Macaca mulatta: one gene and its partner. The protein of the gene in region 1 purifies or fractionates together with the protein of each later gene. This does not show direct contact. Links are inferred from orthologs where the notes say so. Each region holds a gene or a part of one and is shown on either strand. Other genes may lie near its edges.

The links. The genes of interacting proteins can lie anywhere in the genome.
Region 2: the proteins of CXXC1 (region 1) and SETD1A purify together in Homo sapiens (affinity purification with western blotting; 16 studies listed by BioGRID and IntAct, counting the BioPlex papers as one, with this or other methods). This does not show direct contact. The link is inferred for Macaca mulatta from reciprocal best matches to the Homo sapiens genes CXXC1 and SETD1A.

Annotation. Positions count from the first base shown.
Region 1 is NC_133423.1:42,016,550-42,020,753, forward strand, and holds the start of CXXC1 (CXXC-type zinc finger protein 1), read left to right. Parts: upstream 1-1,391; 5' UTR 1,392-1,562; coding exon 1,563-1,565; intron 1,566-1,644; exon of another isoform or gene 1,645-1,727; coding exon of another isoform or gene 1,728-1,730; intron 1,731-2,266; coding exon 2,267-2,385; intron 2,386-2,485; coding exon 2,486-2,586; intron 2,587-2,871; coding exon 2,872-3,107; intron 3,108-3,200; coding exon 3,201-3,380; intron 3,381-3,775; coding exon 3,776-3,802; intron 3,803-3,879; coding exon 3,880-4,125; intron 4,126-4,204. UniProt on the Homo sapiens protein: Transcriptional activator that exhibits a unique DNA binding specificity for CpG unmethylated motifs with a preference for CpGG.
Region 2 is NC_133425.1:29,612,073-29,615,589, reverse strand, and holds part of SETD1A (histone-lysine N-methyltransferase SETD1A), read right to left. Parts: intron 2,080-3,517; coding exon 1,021-2,079; intron 715-1,020; coding exon 542-714; intron 458-541; coding exon 347-457; intron 138-346; coding exon 18-137; intron 1-17. UniProt on the Homo sapiens protein: Histone methyltransferase that catalyzes methyl group transfer from S-adenosyl-L-methionine to the epsilon-amino group of 'Lys-4' of histone H3 (H3K4) via a non-processive mechanism.

The sequences.
Region 1 (4,204 bases):
GTTCATTGGTTGTTGTTCAGGAGATGAAGCGCTGGTGAAATATAGCTGGTTTCCAGGACGGTGTGGTCATTGCAGTTTTGACCAATTCAAGGGTTCCAGGCAAGTTCCTATTGTGTTTTAGTTTTGGTTTGTTTGTTTTCCTTTTTGCAAGTTTGCGAGGAGTCCTTAGAATGGCTTCCAGGCGGAGCGGGCGCGGTGGTTCACGCCTGTAATCCCAGCACTTTGGAGGGCCAAGGCTGGCGAATCACCTTAAGTCGGGAGATCCAGACCATCCTGGCCAACACGGTGAAAGCCCGTCTTTACTAAAAATACAAAAAATTAGCCGGGCGTGGTAGCGCAAGCCTGTAATCCCAGCTACTCGGAAGGCTGAGGCAGGATAATAGGTTGAATCCGGGAGGCAGAGGTTGTAGTGAGCCGAGATCGCGCCATTGCACTCCAGCCTGGGCAACAAAAGCGAAACTCCGTCTCAAAAAATGAGTAAATAAATAAATAAAAATTAGAAAGAATGGCTTCCAGGCTCCATTTTACAGCTGTTAACCAGAGTGACACCGTTTTGTATATCACATTTCACAAGAGATAATCAGGTATGAGCATACAGATCTATGTTTAAGAATGTTCGTTGCAACTTTATTTAGAATAATATTTGAAAATGTTCTAAATGCTAAACAATAAATCAATGTAAACTGTGCTTAGGCTTATTGTGCAGCTTATATAACTAAAATAAGATTTGATATTAGTTTAACAATTGTTTTTAAATAAAAATAAAATAAATAGAAGCCGAACCGTGCCAGGCCTGGCAGAAGAATGACAAGTGGGAGGAGTGAGAGCCGGAAAGAGTGGTGGCAGGTGAAGTCGGAGACGACAGAGGAACTGGTTTCCTCCGCCCCGCAAGGCACACAGCCTGCCGACACCCCATCAATACATGTGGAAGGGGAAAGAGACAGAATGGAGGAATGAATACAACTTGATCCAGGTAGCGTTTCGGGAGCGGCCGCTTTACCTGTGAACCTCTCTGCCTGACAAGCTGCCAATATACGGTATCAACCACCAAGATGGCGGCGCCCTTGAGGAATCCGCAAATAGGTCGCCGCCATGTGTCGCCAAGGAACGTACGAATTCGACCCTCGTACGGAATCAGATTCCAAGATGACGGCATCTATGAGGAAGTCACGCAGTAGGTGCAGCCATGTTGCCTGTACGTCCAGGCCGTACTAGCAGCCGCCGTACGGACTCTACTGACAAGGTGGCGACGCCCTCGGGAAAGCCACAATTGAGCGCTGCCATGTTCCCGGCGAACGTGTGGATTCGGCCACCATACGGATACGATAATCAAGATGGCGGCGCCTGAGGGTTCTTCGGGGGCTCTAGGCGAGCGACCTACTGGTTTGCGGCGGAGACGACGCACGGGGCTTGCGCAATAGGAGTACGCTGCCTGGGAGGCGTGACCAGAAGCGGAAGTAGTTGTGGGCGCCTTTGCAACCGCCTGGGACGCCGCCGAGTGGTCTGTGCAGGTTCGCGGGTTGCTGGCGGGGGTCGCGAGGGAGTGCGCCGGGAGCGGAGATATGGTGAGTACCGGGTTCAGGGAGGGGTTCGGCGGTGGAGGTTGGTGGGGTTGGCAACAGTGGGGTCTGTCGGCCGACTCAGGGGTCTGTGGTGAGCCGTAACCGGAGTCTGTGGACTGAACGGCGGGAGTCTGTGGGCAGAATGATGAACCATCTGGGAGTTCTATGGTGAGCCACGGTGGGGGAGTCCTTAATAGAAGTTTAGTGGGGACTCCGGGTGGCAGTTCCGTGGGAAACCGTGATCGGGGATTGTGAGGAGTCACACTGGGTGGTCTGTAGTGAGCCGTGACGAGGAGTTCGTGTCCGGGGATCCGTGGACAGCCGCGACTGGGGGTGGGTGCGGGTGCCAGGTGGGTCTATGAGGTAAACAGGGAGGGGTGCGTAGAGACCGCGATGGGAAGTCCGCAGTGAATTACGCGGGGTCTGTGAGGGCGCCACGATGAAGGATCGCGATGGCCCATTAGCGAGTGTGGACGCAGGGAGCGGGTGTCGGTGGGTGCGTGATGGGAAGTATGGAGCAAAGTAATAGGATGTCAGGGGAAGGGATGGAGGTCAGTGGGGACTGTGATGGAGAGGTTTTTGGGGGGCCCCGATGTGAAATCTGCAGGCAGAGTGGGGATCCCTGCTGACCATGGTGGAGCTGTAATGGGATAAGCCGCCACGGTGGGGGCTGTTTAAGGATCCGTAATGGGGGTATCCCGCAGGAGGGAGATGGTTCAGACCCAGAACCTCCAGATGCTGGGGAGGACAGCAAGTCGGAGAATGGAGAGAATGCGCCCATCTACTGCATCTGTCGCAAACCGGACATCAACTGCTTCATGATGTGAGCCCGGGAGAGGTGGGCGGGGCAGACACTAGCAGGGTGGGGTGAGGCCGATGGGCCGCGCCCCTCACATCTCCACCGCCTGCCCCATCCTCCGCAGCGGGTGTGACAACTGCAATGAGTGGTTCCATGGGGACTGCATCCGGATCACTGAGAAGATGGCCAAGGCCATCCGGGAGTGGTACTGCCGGGAGTGCAGAGGTGAGGGCCATGGATGGACAGGGAAGGCAGGTGGGGCTTCAAGGGAGGAGGAGGAGCCATAATGGGGGGTCATGGGGAGTAGTGATACACGTCTGTGGTGAGCTGGAATGGGGTCTCCATTGTGAGTGGTAATAGAAGATTCCACGGGAAGAGGCAGCTCTGCCCTGGACAGGGGTGCAGAGTAGGTGGGTGGGATAGTAAGGGAGAGAAGAGGAAGAAAGAGGTTTTGGGACCGTTCAGGCCCTCCAGTGCTCACTCACTTTGGCCCTACTCTCTGCCCCACAGAGAAAGACCCCAAACTAGAGATTCGCTATCGGCACAAGAAGTCACGGGAGCGGGATGGCAATGAGCGGGACGGCAGTGAGCCCCGGGATGAGGGTGGAGGGCGCAAGAGGCCTGTCCCCGATCCAGACCTGCAGCGCCGGGCAGGGTCAGGGACAGGGGTTGGGGCCATGCTTGCTCGGGGCTCTGCTTCGCCCCACAAATCCTCGCCGCAGCCCTTGGTGGCCACACCCAGCCAGGTGAGTGGCTGCATAAAGTGAGTAGATGTGTAAAGTGGTTCCGTTTCAGCCCTGCCTGGGTCCATAATTTCTGTTCTGGGCCCCCTCCTCCAGCATCACCAGCAGCAGCAGCAGCAGATCAAACGGTCAGCCCGCATGTGTGGTGAGTGTGAGGCATGTCGGCGCACTGAGGACTGTGGTCACTGTGACTTCTGTCGGGACATGAAGAAGTTTGGGGGCCCCAACAAGATCCGGCAGAAGTGCCGGCTGCGCCAGTGCCAGCTGCGGGCCCGGGTGAGCATGGACAGAGCTGGGTAGGGTCAGGTATGGGAGAGCTGGTGGGTCCATGCATGGTTAGTGTAGTCTAGGCATGGCTAAGCCAGGTGGGATTGGGCCTGACTGTATCTAGACAGGTGGGAAGGGACCTGTCATGTCCAAATGAATGGGGCATGAGCTGGTATGCTGGGCTGGCAGAACCCCCACCAACCCTGGGTGGACAGAGTGGGGTCAGGTGTTTCCAGTTGGTCATGCACGTCAGTACAGATAAGACAGGGGCGAGCATTCCTGGTAGTAAGGGGTAGTGGGGAGGTGTGTCTGGGGAGGTAAGGCCAGGCCAGGTGGGTGGGGCTAGGGCAAGGCCGCCCTCCATCCACCTGGGGCTGACCTGGGCCTTCCTCCTGCCGGCACAGGAATCGTACAAGTACTTCCCTTCCTCGGTGAGTCCAGCTCCCCAGGGTGGGGCGGGGCATGCGGGCAGGGCGGTCAGGGCCAGTCCTGAGATTCTGCCCCGCAGCTCTCACCAGTGACGCCCTCAGAGTCCCTGCCAAGGCCCCGCCGGCCACTGCCCACCCAACAGCAGCCACAGCCATCACAGAAGTTAGGGCGCATCCGTGAAGATGAGGGAGCAGTGGCATCATCAGCAGTCAAGGAGCCTCCTGAGGCTACAGCCACGCCTGAGCCACTCTCAGATGAGGACCTACCTCTGGATCCTGACCTGTATCAGGACTTCTGTGCAGGGGCCTTTGATGACCACGGCCTGGTGAGCAGATAGGAGCATCCCCTGGTGGAAGGGTGGAGGTTACAGAAGCAGAGAGTATCCGTAATGAGGAGACAGAGGG
Region 2 (3,517 bases), on another chromosome or scaffold:
TGGGAGTGCAATCTCACCTGACGGATGTTCTGACCCACGTATTCGATGACCATCTCGTCAGCAGCAATGGGTTCCATGGCAAACAGACCCCACTCGTGGATCCGGCTCCGGCCAAATCGGAGCTTCTTCTTCCGGAACTGGGGGGCAGAAGGGAGACTCAACTGCCAGACGCCTGCCACACCCCAGACCCTCGCTCTTCCCAGACTTCCTGGGCAGAGAGCATTCTGGCCGCTTACCCCCCAACTCCACCTGAGGGAGCCACAGGAGCTTGTTGGGTGGTCCCCTGGCCTCTGCCCCTTCCTGCCCCACTCTACCCCACCCAGGCCCTCCCGCAGCCCGGTCTCACCTTGAGCTGGTTGAGTTTCAGCAGGTCACTGTCCATGATGGCGGAAGTACCGATGGCGCTCAGCAGCCTCCGTTGCTCGGACCGGCGCTCGGATAGCACGCGGTTCGTCCCCTGTGAGATGCAGGGCAGGGAGGAGGTGAGCAGGGCAGAGAGGTGAGTGGTGGGAGGAGCACGCGGCGGCGGGGTCGGGCCCACCTGAGTGTCCACGCCCTCCAGCTGCCGGGCCGAGACTGGGCACACATCCAGGTACTTGTCCTTCTCCTTCTTGCTGATGGGGTAGTAGCCTTCGCTACGGGCCGAGCCTGTCTGGTGCTCCCGGGGCCCATCCTGGGGCCGCCGCTTGCGTTTTGGGGTGGTCAGGTTGGTGAGTGCGGGGTGTTAAGGAAGAGAACGGCTCCTCTCTGGCCACCCGCGTCCCAGCCAAAGGAGAGGGCGGGGCCCACGCCGCTGAACATACTCAGGTGAGGGAGAGGGGAGGAAGCCCCAGCCCCATGGTTCCTGCCAGAAATGCTTTGGAAGGCAGAAGAGGCACCAGGCGGAGAGAAAAAGATGGCTTGGAGCCAGAGGGGAGGCAGAGTCGGGGACAGATGCAGGTGCCAGGAGGGGTCGGAGGAGGACCCAAGCCCACGTGTCCCGGGGAAGGCCGCCGGCCCCAGCGCCCACGCTCAGGATATTTGTGTGATGAACCCAGTGGGTGTCGTTGAGCCAGTCGGCCCCGCTCGTCTGCTGCAGCAGCCGCTCATAGGTGAGCCGCAGGTAACTCATGTCCTCTGAGTCCAGGCCCGAGTTCCAGATGTCGTACAGGATGGTCATCTGTTCAAACTCACTGCGCGGCTCGTAGGCGCGGGGCGGCCGTGGCGGGGGTGGGGGCGGTGGACGGCGGCGCCGGGCGTGGGAGCGGAGGCTGCGCCTCCGGAGGGCGCCCTCCCCATCACTGCTGCTGCTGCTGTCAGAGGATTCCTCCTCCTCCTCTTCCCCCTCTTCCTCCTCCTCCTCCTCCTCCTCTTCGCCCTCCTCCCGCTGCTGCTGCAGTTGCTGCGGCTTGGGCTCCTCCGCCTCAGCCACCACCACCTCGGGGGCCTCCAGGACCTCATCCGCTGGGGAACTGAAGAGGGCGGCGGGTGCAGGCACTGGCTCTGGGGGCCGCGGGGCCAGTGCCGGTGCTGTGGGCTTGACGGCCAGGGCGTAGTTGTGCTCCAGGAGGATGTGGCTGAGCAGGGGCCCAGGGCGCTCAGCCTCCTCCGATGTTTCTGTGGCCTCCGAGTCGTCAACAGCAGGCAGGGAAGGCAGCCCCCGCCGGGCAGGGGTCAGGGCCAGGTCAGCCAGGACCGCCAGGTCTACCTCTGTCCCTGGCTCAGCCTCCTCTTCCTCTGTGGCGCGGCCTCGGCCTCCAGCCCGGCTCCGGCTTCCTCGGGACACCTCCTCCGGCCAACTCTTGACCAAAGATGCATGGTCCAGAGGCAGGTTGCGGATGGTCCGCTCCACGCCCCGGGGGGCCTTGCGGGAGGCTGGTCCAGGAGACTTGGCCTGCGGCGGTGTGGCTGTAGGGGGCTCTGGGGCTGGCACCACCTCAATGGCAGAGAAGGAGACAGTTTTCCGGCGTTTCTTGGGTGGGGGCAGGAGGGGGATGGGAGAAGAGGGACGCTCATCGGGGCATGGGGTGGGGGCTGGGGGCCCAGCAGGTGGTTCTGGGGGAGGGGGGGGCACACTGGGGGGCAGCTCCTCCGTGGGGCCTGGGAAGGAAGCACAGAGGAAGGAAAGGAGGTCAGGGCGACCCAGGCTCAGCCGCCCTGGCCGCCCATGACCACAGGCCGTGTGCTCTCCCCCGCTTCCACCCAGGAACCTCGGGGGGACACAGACGCTCTGGCCTCAGCCCCACATCCCAACAACATGAACTCCCTTGATGAGAGGAGGTTTCCCACCCGTTCGTTCCCACTGTGACACGTGTGGGGTACACACACACCTTCCATGTCCTCCCGGAGCCACAGTCCAACAGGGGACACCACCAACACATAAGCTGTAGCCACGCTGAGAAGGGCAGCACCACATGCCCTGGACTCTGCTTTCCTACCCAGACTGGCAGGACAGCCCTGTGCCCAGGCCCCAGCCATGTCCCATGCCAAGGACCCAGTCAGCTACATTTCAGCTAAAACATCCATTACCTCCACCATAAACAATATTCTCAGTTTAGCGAGGTGAACATGATACAATCTAAAAAGCAGCATCTCTGTATTAAAATATTTTATGAAACTTGCCTTCCTCCCCATCCCCTACAGAACTGGAACATGCCCCGGGGGGAGGGGCAGGAGACAGCCCTGCCAGAGAAGTGGGGCTGGAGCGGAGATCCCAGGATGCGGGTGGCTGGGGAGGGAACACATTGGCTCCAAGCTGGGGGTGCTGCCTCCCCAAAGCACCCCCGGGACAGGGAGTGCATCCTCCCTTGGCCACCATCCCTGGGAAAGCCTGCATGAGGCTCTCAGAGCCAGCCCGATGGATTTTGTGCCTAACACCAATCACACCTCTTACGTAGCGTAATTCATGTAATCCTCACAACAGCTCAAAGAGGTTCCTATCTTCTTCTTTTTGCCCGAGATGGAGTCTCGCCCTGTTGCCAGGTGGGAGTGCAGTGGCGTGATCTCGGCTCACTGCAACCTCCGCCTCCCAGGTTCAAGCGATCCTCCCGCCTCAGCCTCCTGAGTAGCTGGACTACAGGCATGTGCCACCACACCCAGCTAATTTTTGTATTTTTAGTAGAGTTTTATCATGTTGGCCAGGATGGTCTCGATCTCTTGACCTCCTGCTCCGCCCGCCTTGGCCTCCCAAAGTGCTGGGATTACAGGCGTGAGCCACCGCGCCCAGCAGAGGGTCCTATCTTACAGACAGGGAAACAGGCACAGAGATGCGGTCACAGTTACCAGATGACAGAACAAGCTCTGCTCCCAGGCCATGTGGGTTGAGCTCATGCTCTGAACTGCAGCCCAGGGACTCACTGGCTTCACAACTGGCTTCCCCACTCAGCGCCAACAGGGCCCAGCACCAGGCCCAGCCCTATAAGGCAGCGATTCACCTGAGTCCACCGCACTCCCAACCCTGGCGCCCTGAGCCAGGCCCTAGGCTGTACCTTAGGCTCTGGACACCTGCTGGGGTCTCAGCCTGTGGCAGCAACCCACT